2 linked regions of the Drosophila melanogaster genome follow. The protein of the gene in region 1 interacts with the protein of each later gene in a biochemical or structural test. Each region holds a gene or a part of one and is shown in the gene's direction. Other genes may lie near its edges. The genes, in order: Pbp95 and Bdp1.

The links.
Region 2: the proteins of Pbp95 (region 1) and Bdp1 form a complex in vitro, tested with the Drosophila melanogaster proteins (one study listed by BioGRID).

Annotation. Positions count from the first base shown.
Region 1 is NT_033777.3:8,012,134-8,017,317, forward strand, and holds Pbp95 (PSEA-binding protein 95kD), read left to right. Parts: upstream 1-1,657; 5' UTR 1,658-1,704; coding exon 1,705-2,166; intron 2,167-2,277; coding exon 2,278-2,833; intron 2,834-2,893; coding exon 2,894-4,041; 3' UTR 4,042-4,477; downstream 4,478-5,184. Other genes in the region: CG10435 (uncharacterized protein), read right to left, coding at 1-936; CG2747 (uncharacterized protein), read right to left, coding at 4,547-4,872.
Region 2 is NT_033779.5:13,370,823-13,375,587, reverse strand, and holds Bdp1 (B double prime 1), read left to right. Parts: upstream 1-1,763; 5' UTR 1,764-1,884; coding exon 1,885-2,893; intron 2,894-2,951; coding exon 2,952-3,280; intron 3,281-3,334; coding exon 3,335-4,084; 3' UTR 4,085-4,161; downstream 4,162-4,765. Other genes in the region: CG6565 (uncharacterized protein), read right to left, coding at 1-377, 437-1,084; ND-B22 (NADH dehydrogenase (ubiquinone) B22 subunit), read left to right, coding at 4,649-4,746.

The DNA of each region.
Region 1 (5,184 bases):
AAAGTGTTCCGGTTTATGCAACGGCTGCTGGGCGGAAGCGCTGTACATGGGCGTTAGGTATTGAGCCGTGGTTGGAATGTGGCTTGGCTCGCCCCTGTCCGCATTATCATCACAGTGAACATGGAAATTGACGCTGTCGAGCGTCGCTTTGGTCTCCGCCAGCGTAGTCATTGCTAGCTCCACCGGAGCTGGCACTTCATTGCCAGATTGCTCCTCCTTGGAATGATCCTCATGCGGCGGCTCCTGCTGCTGCTGATCCTGCTGCTGTTGATCTATGCGCTTCTCCAGCTGTGTCTGGTGCAGAACCTGAGCTAGTATGTCTAGATCGTTGATGGTCTTCAGCTCGATATTGTCGAAAGGTGTGGAGTTCATATTGTACTCAAAGTCTGCGTAGTTTAGGGAGCTGTTACGCTTGTGCAGCGTCTGCGGACTGACCACTGGAGTGGTGCTCAGAATGGTGGGCTGCAAGATATTGTGAAAATTACACACACTTATTGACTTTGGTTCGTGGGAAGAGTCGCGTGACTCAGCGGTGATTGGAGGTGGTGGCTGCTGTTGCTGTTCCTCGTCCCTCTGCTCGGGCTCGTTCTTCTTTCGCTCCTTCTCGTCCTCATCCGATGACAAGTCGTCCGCACTAGGATAATCAACTGCTCCAAGCATCTCCTTCTGTCTCGCCTCCAGCGCCCGTTGGCGTTCCTCCTTGCGACGCTCCTGGCGACTGGCTCGCTCCTCGCGCTGCTGGCGACGCAGGTGGCGCCATCGTTGCGCCTGACTCAGCACGGCCCTCTCCAGCTGACAGTCATACTGGTAATCCGGATGATCCGTGTAGAAACCTTCTCGGAATTGCGACAGGCGATTGAGGGTCGCCTGCGGCAGGTGGTACACGGCAGGCGGTGGTTTGTAGCGCTCGACTATCTTGACCGGGACATCTTCCATGTTATGCTAGCGCATTCACCACGAATTTTGTTAATTAAGTTGCTACTACGCGTTTTTTTTTCTCTGTTCTCTTTTGTTGTTTCTCGAGCAGCAGCGATAGGCGATTGGTATTGTCATCGGTCACTGCTGATTCGCCAATTTCGACTAGTGTTGAATATCGTTTTTCCTTGAGATGCTCACCTAATTAGGTGTACTCAGGCTTGGTTGCGAGTTTGACAACAGCTGATATTAAATCTACCCAAATTTTCGCCAATTTGAGGGCGTATGAAAGGCTTAACAAAAATCGGAATACATTAATAGTTTCTACAGATCACGTTATACAACATAAAAAAATTAAAATTACAAAACATTTTGACATACTAAATATTTTTTGTTACCAAGGGTATCATTATTTAGTGCATGGCGGATAGTTTTAAGATCTTTATTCTAAAAAACTATTTTTGACCAAACTTTTGTTTAAAATAATCCCGCGCTTTTACAACTGAGTTTATTGAAATCATGTTCTTTCCACTAGATAAAACCAAAGTTTCTGGGAATAAATAAGGACGAAAAATGGCAGTTATGATATCTATTTTATCTCTATCTATTCTTTAATAGGTCTTAGTCCAATAATACAGCAATTTCCTATGTAATGTTCAATGTTACTTTATTTGCAGGGTATTAATTTGCTTAATGCAGTTCGACCATTGCAACCATTTTATCGATAGTTGATGCCGGGAATAGTTCATCGCTAAAGTCAAAGGCAATGTAAACAAAACAACCTGAGCAATGGACGATGCCGATGATCTGCGCATAAACCAGCAGCAGCTTATGGACGAGATTTCGGCCCTCTTGCAGAACACAGCGAAGCCGAGCGCCGCCAACGCACTGCAGCTGAATCAGGAGCTCCAGCGCCGGCTCATGCAAGTCCGGACCAAAATTCTGGCCATGTTACAAGTAGTAAGGGCCCGCTTCTCTCGGAACGAGGACATCCTGGTGCGCCGGCTGCGACCTCGTTCCCATTTCGGCCCGAATTCCCTCAATCTTAGCGGGGCGATCCTGCGGAAGGGCACGTTTCGCTTCAAGGGCAACCTGTTTTTCCGAGACATCGATGGTCGAAGCTGTCCTAACAACGAGGATTACGAGGCGCGGTGCCACACGGAGATGTTTCCCACCGACTTTGACATGCACTCCAGACATGTATGGACATTGCTAGACAAAAAGAATGTGATAATGGGTATAAAACAACAGGTGAGTGGACCCTTCGAGTGGTTCAGATTGATTGCCAAATACCCATTTAATAGCAATGAAAAGTTAAATAGCAATACTAATATTCTGTTTTATAAAAAACTCAATTCTCAGTTACTGGAGCATAGGGCCCACAGTACGAATGCGCTGCCCAGCGGAAGCCTGAAGCGCAAGCCAATCGAGCGACACTTAAGTACACTGGTAAGTCTGCTGGCAACTGCGGATAGTAGCTTCAGCATCGACTGGAACCAGATCAGCACCCTGGACTTGGAATATCGGCACTCACCATATAGCTGTGAGGCAATGTGGAGGGTCTACTTAACACCAGATCTCAGGCGAGACGATTGGTCACCCGAGGAGGACGAAACTTTACTGGCGGTGGCCACTGCGAACAGGATGCAGAACTGGGAGTTGATAGCCGCGTCGCTAGACCGACGTTCCGACTATCAGTGCTTCGTACGCTTTCATACCGCCCTACGTTTTCTGCTGGAGCCAAAGAACAGCCACCGCTGGAGCGAAGAGGACAACGATAAACTAAGGGCGATCGTTGATAGGAATACGGCAAACAGTGTAATAAACTGGAAAAAAGTCGTGGAATACTTCCCGGACAAGTCCAAATCAACGCTGATTGGTCGTTACTACTACGTGTTGCATCCTAGCATCAGTCACGGTAGGTACCCAATATATTGAATAATTTTTAATTTATTATTTCGCTCCTTTGAAACTGCAGAACCCTTCACTACCAAGGAGGACATGATGCTGTTCGCCGCCGTTGAAGAGTACAATGGAAAGTTTCACTGTTTTCCGCGTTCTCTTTTCCCAAACCGGTCGTTAACCCAACTCCGAACTCGCTACCACAATGTACTGGCACAACGCAACAAGACCGACTCCTGGTCCGTTCAGGACGACACACGGCTGATGAGCTTCGTAACGCAATACGGGGCTTCCCAGTGGCTTAACTGTGCCACGTTCTTGGGCAATCACACGCGGACCAGCTGTCGAACCCGCTTCCTAGTCATCAAGAAATTCCTTGAACAAAATCCCAATGCAAAAGTGGAAGACCTGCCACGCCGCCGATCGAAGAAGGTGTCCTTGGTTAACTCTGATAACTGGGCGCAGCGTTTGCAAGAGTGGCAAGAGGACCCAGAGTCATTAGTTAATGATAACCCCCCGAAAGGAACTCGGGTGCGCGGTCCCAAATCGAAAAAGGCTAGGATCGAGCGACAGGCAGAGAGTTTCTCAAGACTTTCGAAAGTTGATATAGAGTTCTGCAACTTCTTTAAGTTTAGTTATAATCTGACGCTGAGCACTCCAAAAACTTTTCCAGTTCCAAAAGACGTTTATAACCTTGCCTACGTGATCAGAGCTCTTGCATATAAGCCACCAATTCGACCCTCGCTCTTACAAAACATATTTATGCCAAATGATGTGCTTAAGTGCTACAACAGCATGATCCGAAACCTTCCGGACGAGGAAGGTGATATGAAGAGCCCACTTTTGCCACCCAACTGGTCAACTATGATGGGGTTTCGAGCCTTATGCATTCTTTCCGGAGATTGTCGCAAGGATACGGAAACACGTAGCTTCGAATACAATGAATCTTTACCACCCATCCAGCTTTTCCGCAAGCGGTTGCAAGCTCTTTTCTATCGTACCACTCTTCTCAGCCGCTTGGAATCACAACTCTTTACGGACTTACCATCAGCATTAGTTTCTTTACCACGCCCCAAACACGATTATGCAAAAATGGGTACACATGTTGAATTAATCGATCCAGAGCCGGCACCACAGAATGATCTAAAATCCGAGCCGCTTAGCGAGAATGAAGTGATTAATACAGTCAAGCAGGAATTGGAAATGGAATATACAGTTCCATAGGAACTAATAAGTAAATATGTAATATTGATTAATTTAAGCTTTAAAAGTTTATATTTTTTACTTCATATCGCGTTATATAATAGTTCATTACAATGGCTAACAAATAATTTATAAACTTGTAGGTACTTTTAACGTATTTCACATACAGCAAAATCAAATGCCGGACCGATGTGCATTAGGGTGGCTCATTTTTCTGATTGTAGTTTAAAAATATTGCTTAGGTTTGAAAAAAGGTATATTTATAGCAAAACGCCCTGCAAAACGAAACAATTTAATACACAAGCAGTCAAAAAAACTAATGTATATTTTAGTTGCCGTTTTACAATCCTTTCAAAACTTTTATCCCGGATATTTAGTTATTAGAGCAAAATTGTCTAAACCTTATTTTCAATATAAAAAGAACCGATCCATCCTATTGTTCATGCGGTAACAATGTATTACAAAGCATTTTTATGATAGCACTAGCAGCTTGAGAACTATTTTGTTCGATTCCCGGGGGAGGCGCTCATTGGAAGTTACTGAAATCCGTCTTCAGCTTGATCGTAGGCTTCTGCGGCTTGGCCAGCAGGTTCCTCTGCGCCTCGCTTGCTTTTTGGGCAATGTTAATCGACTGCTGTTGGCTGCGAATGGCCGCTTCTAGTTTTTGTCGCAGTTCCGGTGTTTGACCCATCAGGGCCTTAAACTCCTGCGGATATTTCGGACCGATCTTCAGTAGCCACTGCAGCGCCTGGTCGTGCAGCTGCCGTTGATACTTTGGCAGCGTCCGGAGTCGACTGGGTTCCGCTAGGAAGCCAATGAGCACAGGGACCAACAGAGTCAGCATCTGAATATCTGTGAAGTGTGGACAAGGAACAATTAATATTATAATCCTAAGTTTAAGGGCTTGCTAAACGGAACATCAATTCACAGAGATGGACAAGTCGCTTCATCCCGTACTTTTACTTCATACGTGCAACATTTAAAGCGTAATTTTAATTGACAACAAGAACTAGGAACTATGCTATGGATTGGTGCATTGAAAAACATTGAGTGTGCAATAAACGTTGCAATTCATGACTATAAGGCAGTTAAGATAACATAAATAAAAAAACGAATAGAATGTTCATATTTAATGGTAGGAAAATAATTTCATTTCCATTTAGC
Region 2 (4,765 bases), on another chromosome or scaffold:
TACGTGAGGACAAAGTGGAGGCCTGGCTCATGGAAACCGCGAAAGGGCTTGATGACCATCAGGCTCCAATAGTCAGTGACGCGAACTTTTCCAGACAACGCCGGATAGGTGTTGTGCGTGGCTCCGCGGTTGCAAATGAATATCAGCTTCTTGTTGTCGTCTTTTATGTAGCGGCGACAATAGACGTAGTCGCGATTGGCGAACAGTCGTGGCCACTGCATCTCCCAGTATATCAGATGCGAGTTGCTGCCCGGGACGGGATCCTCGCTGATGAGCTCAAGTCTTAGGGCCGTGTCGTCCCACTGGCGACGGTAATCCAAATCCGTTTGAACGTGGAGGAAGTCGTCCGCTGTGATGTCGTCGAATCGAGCATAAACCTGCAAACGGAAAGGCGGCATAAAAGTGAGCCCTAAAAAACTTTTAGATGGCCTCTTACCTTGTATGAGTATAAGGAGGAGCGCTCCTGCCGCCGCCAAATGCTGAATTCGTTTTTGCTAAAGTACGGCTCCCATTTTTGGTCGTCCTGGGCCTGAATGCGTACCGTTCCGGCCGGTGCATTGCGCACGTCCAGATCCAACGGTCGCAGACAATTGCTGATGCTGGTGTCCGGATCCGTCTCCGCCTCTTTGCTGGTGGACGGCTGGGATTGGCCCTTTTTGCAGCGCTGGTTGCCCAGCTGACAGTAGCAGTATTTCATCTTCTTGGCCTGGCAGCGGTCGCACAGCTGATTGTTGGGCAGGGCGTTGATAAACTCAATATCCCGGCGGCACAGATCAAAGTTGGACAAGGCCAGGCGCTCCTTGTTCCAATCGAAGCCATCGCTACCCATTCGCTTGATATTCAGCCCGACGAGACCCACTGCACTCATCACCATTCCCCGCAGCGGAGGCTGCAGCTCCCGGCGGTAGTAGGCGCGCCATAGCTGCTTCAGACCCTGAGTTCCATACACCGACTGGTAGAAACTGAACAACTGCTGAACGCGACGCGAGCGCTGGGCGAAAATCGACTCGCATTGGTAGCTCCAGGCACGCAGCGTTTCTCGGGACTGGTTCTTGATGGCCAGTACAAATCGATTGAACAGCATGCCGGCTAATTCAATTTGTCCGTCGGCCGCCCGCTTGCATAACAACCTACTCAAAAGTGCGGCGACTTCTTAATGCTCCTTCGCTATTACTGTGCCCCCGCACACTTGGCACATTTGTCGCCAGAAAACTTTGGGAATTTAGTACTTCTAGCCAGGACACACCCGATAGGTTTGCCGGAAGCGTTACTGCACGAGAGCTTGGTTAGGATCTGGGCGGACTTATCATGTTTGCCCGATTAGAAAAAACGTGCAACTTGCAATTTGTCTGCTGCTTCTGTTGTTATTCCGCTGTTGTTGTTCCTGTTGTTGTGCCGTTACAGGCAGCAGTGTTGGAAAATCGCAAACCGCCTGCTGAGAGGTGACAGCTACGATCAGTGATCACACTTTTCTGCAACACTGAAACACAAATAATATTAAATTCAACCAAACTTTTACTGTGTACAAATTTTTGACGTGAATCTGGTGAAGTGTGCCATAATTTATACCAATTTATTTTTGACACTGCGAATAAATTTACTTGACATGCTTTCTAATAACGCAGTTATCTCGTTTTTTTTTTATTTGTTAAAAAATCTTTTGGGTACTGCAAGTTTTTTATAGCCATTTTGAAACTTTAAATAAATTGGTTGTCTACTTTCTTACATGGCCAGGACACTGTGAATGCTCTTTGGCGTTAGCCAACACTATACTTGGGAAACTCGTGGTTGCGGCCGCATTGTTTTTGTTGCGCAGATTTTGATTCGATTTGATGTGTGAAACTGCGGTTGAGCCTGGAAGAAGCCTAAGAGTACCCAGGCAGGATGTCCATGCGGCGCCAGCGCATCAAGGCTCCGGCCAACCTGTCGCTTATCAAACGCAAGCCACGCAGGGAGGAGCTCCCAACGGCGAAAAAGGAGGATGAGGAGGAGGAGGCGGTGGTGGTGGAAGCAGAGGCTGAGTCCCCGCCCGTTGCATCGACCCCTGCTGCGGAATTGGAACTAGAGGCTGATGCAATCGCCTTCAAGATGCCCGCAAGCTCGGCTGGGCAGCTGGAAGAGGTATTCCACTCGGACCTCGAGGACAATGTCATTCAGATGGACTTGCAGAAGACCACCAATGGCTTCCCTATGTCGCCCAGCAAGGCTCAAGCCCGTCAGCGTGTGCGACCCACTCCGGTATTTGGCCAGCGACGCAACAGCTTCGTGGGCTCACCCATGGCCAGTGATTATGAGGGCGACTATCAGTCGCCAGCCACGCCCACGCGGCGAGAGCGCTATCTTAGCGGTTCTTCATCGGGAACTCCTTTGCAGCAGCAGGTGCACTCGCCTATGCCTCCGTCCCCCTATAAATACCTACCGCCCGCTAGTCCGGGCATGGGACGCATTCGCACCGAATCCACCTGTTCCACCTATTCCGAAGGAGGTAGCAAGCAGAGGAAGGGCGACGATAGGTCGCAAAGTCAAATTGGACAGCGGTTAAATGCCCGGCGAGACTTTGAAACCCGTTTCAATAAGGGTGTACCCGACAAGTCCACGTTCAAGATGATGGACATGATCTTCTACAATCCGGAGAACAATCCCATGGTGCCCAAACAGTCGGTGACGACCATCAAGGATGAGTCTGGTGGCGATGATTCCAAGCCCGCAGTCAGTCAACTATTGGAACCCAAGGGAGAGTCCACATCCGCTATGTTAGTGCCTCAGCTAAAGCTTGATGCCAATGGCGAGATGATCATTGATGAGAAAACATTGGAGATCGAAACCACGGCCGAGGTGGAGGCCCGCAAGGTGCTAGCCAACTCATCGTTAATCCTAATGGACGAGACTACGGGTGCGCCGCAGAGTTAATACATAAAAGTTGAATACTTAACGAATTTTATACTTTGCAGGAGATAATGGATTCTATAAACGCCACAAGCGCACGCCATACTGGACCTCCGATGAGACCGTCCGCTTCTACCGCAGCCTGCAGATCATTGGGACGGACTTCTCGCTGATGTGCCAAATGTTTCCAACACGTTCACGTCGGGATCTAAAGCTGAAGTACAAAAAGGAAGAGCGAACCAATGGGCAGCTCATAAACAAAGCACTCCTCTATCCTAAGGCCTTCAACATTCAGGAGCTCAAGGATCAACTGGAAGAGGAGGACCGCGAAAGGGAAGAAAATGATCGCAAGTGGAGGGAAATCGCACGAGCTCTTCCGGGAAACCCTAAGAAGGTAAATAATTTGTAGCTGACTGTAATCACCATTACATTTTTTAATTATATTTAGCGTTCCCGAGTACAGCAGCAAAGCAAGGCCTCAAGGGCACTAAACGATGGTGATGTTGTCTACGAAAACGAGCACGTAACGAGTACAAAGCTCGGCAAGCACGCCTGGGCCAAAAGGCGAAAGGAGTTGGAGACCGATGAGAACGACGGAAGTGCGCCGGCCAAACGTAAGCCAAAGGCTAAGCGACGATCTCCCAAGGTTTCAGTTCCAGCGGCAACGGAAAGCCTGTCTGATGTGGCGGCCATTAAGCAGGAAAAAACGATCAAAACCGAACAAACGAGTAGTCATTTGCCAACGGGGGGAGAACTGCAGGCTGAGCTCAATGGCCTCCTCATGGATGATCCGGTGGAATATGACGTAGATGTAAACAAGCCACGTGATAAAACTATTATCAATATGGATGATGGTACCCTAAGCTATGTCAGCGACGTCGAACCCGCCCCAGAGACGCCCAATCGAAAGGCAGAGACATATTTAATAAACTTCATTGAAGACCAAGATCATGAACTTATAACGCCGGATGACCCCATTCCGCCGTCCACTACCGAACCGGATATCGAACAAATTCTCGCCGAGCTTGCGGAAGGATCTCTGGCTCTCGTCTCGTCCTTGGATCCAGAGCACGAGGATCGTGTGCTCAACGAAATCTACATGCTGGACAAAAAAACGGGCGAGTTGTGCGAAACGCCTCTGAAAATACCAGAGCATATTGTTCAATGCATAATGAATGTTATGCAGCCAGAGGACTAACGACATTTTATATTTATATCTTAAGAGTATTTGTTAACAGTTATAATTTATTAAAGCATTTCGCTAGATGTATTTACAAAATTACTTTCTTGTTCCTCGCAAATTCAAAGGGAATTGCAAAAAATGCAAAAATGGGACTGACTTTCTTGGTTTCTTTAACTATTCCTAAAAAAAATTGTAATTAATATACAATTATAACAGATTTGTCAAAATAGTCTTATTTTATAAATAAAATAGGGTAGCAAGAAGGCTTTTAAGCATTAAAAGTGTTTGGTTATAGGTATCTACTCTAGACAGGATCATTTCGATTTCTTGCAATAACAAAAGCTTGTATAAAATGCAAAGATAGCCATTGCTTTTGTATAGAAAATTTAAATCAAATATATAAATATTTTTTGAATTTCCATTCATTTCAGAGTTGCCGTTCTCTAAAATTATTTTTCGCTTCGCAACACATATTTTCAGGCGCAGGGCTTTAGAGCACTGGACTTTTGACAGCTGTTGTTGTTGTTGCCTCGGCTGCGGTAGCAAATTAATACAATTTAACCAATATAGTAAAAAACGATGGCCCAAGTTCCCTTGGCAATCGTCTCGCACAAGCGCCAGGTGTGCAGCCTGTACAAGCGAGCACTGCGCAACTTAGAGTCGTGGTACGACCGACGGTGAGTGCACTCGGCGCAG